Nothobranchius furzeri: one gene and its partner. Each later gene encodes a partner of the first gene's protein in a complex. Links are inferred from orthologs where the notes say so. Each region holds a gene or a part of one and is shown on either strand. Other genes may lie near its edges. The genes, in order: cyclin-dependent kinase 2-associated protein 1 and mta3.

What was found.
Region 2: cyclin-dependent kinase 2-associated protein 1 (region 1) and mta3 share a complex: the UniProt entries of both Homo sapiens proteins name them as parts of the nucleosome remodeling and deacetylase (NuRD) repressor complex. The link is inferred for Nothobranchius furzeri from reciprocal best matches to the Homo sapiens genes CDK2AP1 and MTA3.

What each region holds. Positions count from the first base shown.
Region 1 is NC_091746.1:75,833,798-75,838,335, forward strand, and holds the start of cyclin-dependent kinase 2-associated protein 1, read left to right. Parts: upstream 1-1,530; 5' UTR 1,531-1,638; coding exon 1,639-1,705; intron 1,706-3,509; coding exon 3,510-3,610; intron 3,611-4,538. UniProt on the Homo sapiens protein: Inhibitor of cyclin-dependent kinase CDK2. Also acts as a component of the histone deacetylase NuRD complex which participates in the remodeling of chromatin.
Region 2 is NC_091756.1:43,872,930-43,876,750, reverse strand, and holds part of mta3 (metastasis-associated protein MTA3), read right to left. Parts: coding exon 3,740-3,821; intron 3,619-3,739; coding exon 3,457-3,618; intron 2,975-3,456; coding exon 2,943-2,974; intron 2,863-2,942; coding exon 2,747-2,862; coding exon of another isoform or gene 2,743-2,746; exon of another isoform or gene 2,737-2,742; intron 1-2,736. UniProt on the Homo sapiens protein: Acts as a component of the histone deacetylase NuRD complex which participates in the remodeling of chromatin.

The DNA of each region.
Region 1 (4,538 bases):
AAAGTGTGACCCTTTTGCCCCCTCACTCCTACATCTCACTAGGTCTGAAGACTGGCTGTTAAACTCAGGATGCGTTTTTGTGGGGCAGGTTTCTCGAACATACCCCGATCCTCTGGATTAGCTGGCGGTGGGTCTGCATCCACGTCTGCTTGACCGACGATGCATTTAAAAACAGACCTTTGTATTATTTGTACAGTTTGGAATTCTTCACACGGTGGATCTCAGTCTCTGGAAAGCACTGGGGGAGCTGCTCCTGAATCGCAGCTTACGTTTTAACTTGAATGTGCACCTTTTAAAAGCGGACGCCTCGCGCTTTTGTCATGTACACGAACTGCAGTGTGTGCAGGTTGTTTTTGAATGCTGTTGTAAGGGGAAGGGTCGCTTAAGATTCTCCGGAAACAACAGAAGGACTTTCTCCCACCTAAATCATCGCTGGAGTTGCACTAGTGACAAGACTTGTACTGACTCACCAGTACCTGTGCAAGAAGGAGTGCATTCTCAATAAACCCTGTTGGTTTTTGTACAAACTAGAAAATAAACACCAAATATAAAACATTAGTTATTGACTATATTTCATAATTTGATGGTTTAACTTAAATTTTTTTTTGTAGCTACTTTCAGGTTTATGTATTTTCATTTTTAAATTGTGTCCTTATAGAGGTTTAGACTTAAAAAATTCTACAACTAATGCTAAAATAGCATTAAAGTATGTATAAATATATATAATACTAGTGGCTATTGGAAAATGTGCATTACACAGAGAGTGTACAATTGTCCAAAAAGCCACTACAAGTACTTTTTAATAGTTTCTGTATAAACTTATACAAATGAAAATAGCCTTTTATTTTGTGGATTACCTTTGCCTATTTTTACTTCAGCGGTTTGTGATTACGCTTAGTTTGTAAGTTGCCAGCGATGATGCTCCATAAAAACGTGCTCCAGCCTCGGGTCAGCGATTGTGGGGGCCCCTGCCCTACTGGGGTCACGACACTGGGACTAACACTGTCCAACCACGTGGCCTGATGGGGGAAAAAAGGGATCCCTGAAAAGCCTAGTTTTAAAAAGAAGACGAGCACATGGGTCACCAGAACAGCTCCTGCCTTCTGCTTTGATTTTTGGTTTAAAACATCCGCGAATAAAACGATGGAAGTTCCCACACAAAACAAATTAGGTAATTTAATTTCTTTATTTTCTTTCATAATTTTTTTAAGTGTTGTAAATAAAACTCGCTCATTTGTTTGACTTAACGCAAACTAAGCATCTCCAAACATCTGCATCAAGTTTCTTGTTATGATGTAAAAACTCATTATTTTCTTTTAATCTGAAAAATAAAATTTCAAAGTTAACATAAAAACCTTCAAAAGTTGATTCTTCTGTAAGTGTTAAAAGTCCGTGGGCCGGAGTTAACTTTCTTACATAAAATCAGGCTAAATGTGTGTAAAAGCGGCTGATTTTCACGCCTTCTTGGTGAAAACCGTGTTTTAAGTGTTTTTCCTGCTGAGCCGCAGTGGATGGTAGAAACTCGGTGGGTGTCAATATAAAGTGACGGCCATATTTGCCGGTGCCGCTGTTGTAAACAAAAAGTGAGAGACAGACGCTTCACTGAATTTCGGGTCATTTTTATTTCTTTAATTTACAATGTCTCTGGGAATGTCTTATAAACCCAATGCCCATCAGCACATTCCGGGAACTTCTGGGAACCAGGGTAAGGCGAAACCGTGGGAGAAAATCCAAGCATCCGCCTGTTAAATCGAGTGTTAAATTCGGGGTCTCGGAGAATACCTGGAGAAGACCGTGTCTGTAGTTTTTGTCCAGTTATATATATAGGGTCAGATCCTGGGAGCTAGGCTAATTCATATCCGCCATTATTACTAATGTAAAAGAGCGCCATCCGGGAGCCGCGGCGGCCGAGAAACACGGTGGGGATGAGAAACGAGGCGGCGGCGGTTCCGAAAATGGGTTTCTCCGTCGTCCGGGGCCGCGGTCCCGCCGGGGGGTTGCCGTTACACGGTGACAAAAATGTATCACTTATGTCTTCTTGAGCCAGCCTTGTTCTGTTCCCTCCATGATGCTCCTCGGTCGGAGCTGCCGATTGATCTGCCTCTGAGAATTTTACGTCCCATCGAGGACACCTGGTGTTGGACACGGGTACTGCAGCTAAACAAAGAGGCAGCGCGGCGCTGTGTGAGAGGGTTAATAACGTGTTCACAAACGGGTTTTACATGAAATTAGCATCACTGGCTTACAATAGAACAATCAACGTGAGATTCTTTAAACGCGTTTTTAAAAAGAGTTTTAGTATATCAATATATTGTTGATGTCACTACAGTTCCAGGTGTAGTGAAGGCAGAAAACATGTCTAACAAAAGAAAAGCCCTCTGTTTTATTTTACGAACTTTGTGTTTTCACTCACTCATTTTCTGGCTCTGTTTGGGAGTGATGAGCATCAGGAGTGAGTTTATCAGGGGGACAGCTCATGTTAGGTCAGCGGGCTCCTGGAGGGCTCCCATATCCAGCATGTTTTACTTGTTTCCCCGCTCCAAAGAACCTGAATCAGTGGTTGAATTACTAAGTGCTGCAGAAGCATGTTAGTCACATTTGTTGGGACGAATAAATGACTAAAACATAGGAGATCTGGAGGACCAGGGTTGCAGAACACTGTTTTGGAGATGAAGTCAGAGAGACCAGACTTAGAGGTCCAGAGGAAACATTACGTAGGTAGAAGGATGCCGAGGGTGGAGTCAGCAGGCAGGAGGTTGAGGGGGGATTCAGTGAAAGAGGACATAACATTAGTTGGTGTGAGGGTAGAGGATGTGGAAGACAGGACTAGAAGGAGACAGATGACTGGCTGTAGAGGGACATGCCCAAAGCCAAAGAAGAAGACTCCTTTTCTGTGCCGCCTCATCCTCTATAGGGTCTTGGGGAACTGGTGTCTCAGCATTCTGCGGACGAGTGGTCACCCTAGACAAGTCTCCAGTCCCTCACAGGAACACAGAGACAAGCAACCACTCTGACTCACACCAGAGACAGCCATTTACACCCAAAGACACGCTTTTGGTTGGTGGGAGGATATTTACTTTAGAATTGCTTCAGTTTGAAATCTTTGGTGGTTCAATCCTGACTTCTCCCACATGTGGAAATGTCCTTGGGCAAGACTCTGAATCCTGTGTGTGTGTGTGTGTGTGTGTGTAAAGCGCTTTAACTGGTCATTAGGCTATAAAAATGTTGTATAAATATTTTCCTCCTACTGTTTATGAAAGGATATTGAGAACAATGCTACACAGAATTGGGGAAACATTCAGTTTTATTCGTTGTCCTCGCTCCTCCATTCTGTCACCACAGCATTCCCAACACTTGCTGTGAGTTTTAGCGTTTCAGAACCTCTTAACTGGGCGTGGACATCAACGGCAGATCGCTGCAACGACGTTGCAATAGCGACAAATTAGCCATATATTGAATATCTATGTTTATTTGAACTGATGTGGATTTTTTATTTGTTCTCCATACAGTTGGGAACCTTCCTTCTCCGTCGGCAGCTAACCTGGCCACGTTGCAGTCCTACAGGCCCATTCTGAGCGACTATGGACCTCCATCTCTGGGATTCTCGCAGGTGACTGCTGCCATTGGCCAAAAGAAGTTTTATTTAAATTTTAGTGTACTAGAGGTACAGTGTAGTCTAACTTAAACAAATTATACAAGAAACTCCACATCCAAATATCAACCATCTGCCAACACATAATCGGTTATTAGGGGCTCGACACACGGGAGGCGACAAACGACCGCGATCAGTGAAATTTGTCGCCGTCGCTTTTATTACCTGTCACACGGGAGGCGATCCGCGGTAGCGGCCAGCGGCAAAGCCGTCTACGCGTTCTGTTCCACGGCGAAATCGAAACTTCCGTTGTTTTGATTGGCTGTGTCAGGTTGGAGGGAATTAAGGTTATTTAAGCGGTTCAGAGTTAATAAAGTGGTAGATATGATGTTTCACAAGGTGCTGCTAGAGTTATGTGAAATCTTACTTCTGATTTTACTATAAAACATAATAATAATCAACTTCTCCTCCATGTTTGCTCGGAGATGTACGGAGCATCCTGTCCGCTCATTGGTCAGTGAATGAAACCTCCGTTGATTGGTCCTCATCCGAGCGACAGCGATGAAAAGTTGAAAATGTTTCAACTTTCTGGGATCGCGTCGCTGGGTCGTCCGTGCACGACACGTGCACGAGTGCAAAGTTTCACACGCACGTTTTTCGCGTTTCGCTTGGTAGGAGGGAGACCCGCGATTATCGCTTTGTCACGCATGTCTCATTGAAAATTAATGGAGGAGAGGCGACGTCGCCTCCCGTGTGTCGAGCCCATTATCCAAACTAAACAGTCAGATGTCACTACTTGCCATCAGCTTACATAAAGCCAACAAATGTCCGCTTTGTCAAGCTACCCTCAACATTGGCAGTCAACTTCCGGTTCAGAATGATAAAAGCGCACTTATTTTCCCGATTGAAATGGGTACTTCTAATAGCGTTAGCTTAGCTTAAAATA
Region 2 (3,821 bases), on another chromosome or scaffold:
CTAAAAGCTAATGTCACTCTCTCCCAATGACAAACTCCCTTCTGCAGCTGTAATGATGTTGATGCAGTACAAGCTGTGCTAATGGTATGAAATGGTGTTCATTTTCAGTCTCCTAAGTGCTTGTGAGGGCAGAAGAAAGTGGTTTGATGTGCACCGTGTGACGTTAGAGGTGGAGACACGAGTCTTCTCACAAGTAAACAATGTTTACATTAATCAGCTAGCTTTACGTTGGCATCACAGATGTTTCTTATTCACTTTGCTAAATGTATTCCTAGTGCCAGATAACGGGTAAGGATGATACAGAGATGTAAAAAAGATGGAAGGAGAAAAAGGAATCAGATAAACGGAAGATGTTTAAAATGATGAAAGTGCATCAGAAGGATGGAAAAAACCTTTATGAATCAGACTTCATGAAATGGAATGAAGTTAGCTCCTGATTAGAGTTGTCACGGTAACCGGTGTAGGTAAACCCCGGTAAAAAAGTTGACAATAATAATAACTGTCTTGTTTTTTAAAAAAAAATATTATCTCGGTGGAGTACCGTGGCTGCGATGTAGGCGCGGTGACCCTTACCAGCCACCACATCTGCTGAAGTTGCTGGCGGCACTTTGTTGTTTACAGCCAAAACTTTCTTGAAGCTAAAGCTGAAATAATGGCCAAAGGAGGAGACGGCAGCACTCAGGACATTTATTATCCCTCAAAGAAGACAAAATCGGATGTATGGGCATTTTTTTTGGATATTTGAAGAATGCCGAGGGACAGTTGATAGAAGATGGCTATCCTGTTTGCAGCACGTGCAGCACTGTTAAAAATCCAAATTGCAATTAGTTTGGAGAGTTTAAAGTTTTAAGTCAGTTGAACGTTTTAACTTGCAAAATGTTAAGTTAATACAGAAAAGCAAGCACCTAAAAAGTTGACTGAACTTAAAATTGTATTGCAACTGGTTGCTTTACTTTTTTAAGTTCACTGGACTGTCTTTTTTACAGTGAGGAAAAAGTGTCTGAAAGGCAGCAACGCTTCAAATCTCATGACACATCTGCGTGACCATCACCCTCAACTCTACAGTCAACGCAAGGCAAGCTAACGTTAACGTTTTAGCTAAAATGCATGATCTGAGGATTTGGGTTGTGGGAGAATGCAACGAGTCGCTATTTAAAGCAGCCGCAGCGCCGCTACCTGCATATAAACCGTGTCACGGACGCCCCCATACTGAAAAGACGCTATGTATTACGGGGCTCCCAGGGGCAGATAAGAGCTGGTCTCTCTCCGAGAATAATTATGAATTTAACAATGATTACTGCCTGATGACATTTTCCCAAATCTGCAAAGAAGGACACAAACCGAGGACAATATTTTCCTGATATAGGGTTTATTACTCAAGTAAGGGTAAAAAAGTATCTGATTAGAAGACTACTTGATTACTGAGTATCATCTGGTCTAATATTTTTAAAATTATGACATCAAACAGACAAAAATAAGAAGTTATGGGCAAATATTGTATTTTAAAGACTAAAGGGGAAATATGTAAACAAATAAACAACATAATTACAAAATAACACATTTTAGGGCAAAATTTAGACACAAACTGAGGACAATATTTTCCTGATATACAAGGTTTATTTAGTCTGAAAATGTAACACGTTTAAAAAAAATACCGCGATAATATCGAAAATCGTGATAATTTTGGTCACAATAACTGTAAGGTTAAATTTTCACACCGTGACAACCCTACTCCTGATAAACTTTCTCAGATTTCATGTTAGGGATGATCCACGCTGATGTTCTTTAGCCGGTTTAGAAAACATGTCAAGTTTATTACGTTTTAAACACTTCATGAAAATCTGTTTGCTTTGTAATAAAATTGATTGATTGATGATTAGTTGACTGACTGGTTGATTGGTTAATTAGTTTGTTGATTGGCTGATTGGTTAATTGGTTGGTTGATTGGTTAATTTATTAATTGGTTGGTTTGTTAATTAGTTTGTTAGTTGGTTGGCTGGTTGGTTGGTTGGTTAATTGGTTTGTTGGTTGGTTGGTTGGTTGGCTGGTTGATTGATCGATTGCAGCTTCTTAAGTTACAGGAATGATTTCATTTGTGTTCCATTTAAAAATCTGGATTAAAACAAACATTATTTTGATATTCTTTTTAATCAACATTTTTCAAAAAGTCAATAAAATAAATCTTTTGGGATAAATTCTGAATGCTAGCCTCAAAGTTGCCTTTTATAGAACTTAAAACAAAGATGATTTTACATTAACAAACAATAGTTATAGTTGTTTTGGTCAAATGTTGAAAATAAACTGATAACATGATTTCATGTAGATCTTAAAGGAATGACAGCTCAATATCTGAGTTTTAGACCTTTTTGTGTTTTCTAAGGTCATTTAGCTGTGATGGCCGGTTTCTGTTAAGGTCAACTCAGAATGGTAATCACTTAAAAAAATAAACAAAATAAAAATCACTCCAGTGGTGACATATTGATAACATGTCAAACATACAAACAGACAAGAGCAAAAAACATTATTGATAATAAGCTTAAAGGTCAGCTATTAAATAATCTCTCATTATAAACTCTTGATTCAGTCTCTCTGTTGGGCAGTTTACAGATGACTGAAGTCAACACAGGTTAAAAATAACTCCTTTTCAATCACAGCTTATCTGCTGTCAGTATCGCTTTTCCTACATGCACACACGCACACACACAATTAGTCAATCAGAGGTCAATAAAGGGTCACCTTTGCTTACCTGGTCTCCCGGGTGACGAGGAAGAAGCTGTCATCGGGAGCATCGATCCAGTTGGGGCGTCTCTTGCGGATCATCACTCCTCCTCGGTTGTTTCCACTGCTGTTGCGACCATTATGCTGCAAAAAAAGTTATTTTAATGACAACAAGCAGGGATGCAGGAGAGGAACGTTAGCTCAAAAAGTGAACCCACACATACCATGACAGGTCCAGCTGTTGAGCCTGGGTTTTCTGCAGGCCACACCAGAGAAAGGGGTAAACGGTCAGTTGTGAACAATATTGCTACAAAGCCATGTTTTAATTGAGGAAAAGGTAGAAAGTTCCAAAAGAAAAATTGATCAAAATGATGCGTTCTTCATTTTTATTAGATTTAGATGACATTCTGTTAAATGGGCAGAAAAGGTTCAGGGTCTATTTTGTTGAAATGCAAAAGTTTGTTCAGATCTAGAAGCGCTCCGATTCTAGATTTGAGGGCTGATATTGATGTCTGATTCCTGCACAGCCCTGATCTGCTCATTTCACTTCATCTCTAAGAAACATAACGATAAAGTGAGTTTTTTTAAACTCCTGATTAGACTGAAGAGTTTAATTCTGCAAGTAAAAATGTTTACATGAAAAAAAAATCAGATCTCATGTTTCTAGAAACACAATTAGTAAAAGAATAAAATGAGGGGTTCTTATTTTCTTGTAGGATCCCTTCAGTCTCTGAGTACCTGAGCGTCTTTCTGGTTCAGCCCTGCTGTGGTGATGGTAGCTACGTTTTCCCAGCATGCCGTGAGGGCCATGTGGAAGAGACGAGAGGAGGCGCCGAGGGGGGGGTGTCTGCAGTCCTGGGGTGCGATGGGAGCGAGGGGCGTGGGCCACTGGACGGGACTCTGGAAGACACATCACACCGGAGCTGCATGAAGTGGTTCATACAGACCATCTGAATATTTGATGACTTTACTGGTTTGACACTTATGAGGGCGGTGGTCTTGTTTCTTTGTGTGGATTTACCTAGAAACTGCACAACACTGGTCAGAGTGCTCCTTTGGGCGGCTCTGGTTTTGGGTAGTCGGGTCCCCTGGCCCTCTGACAC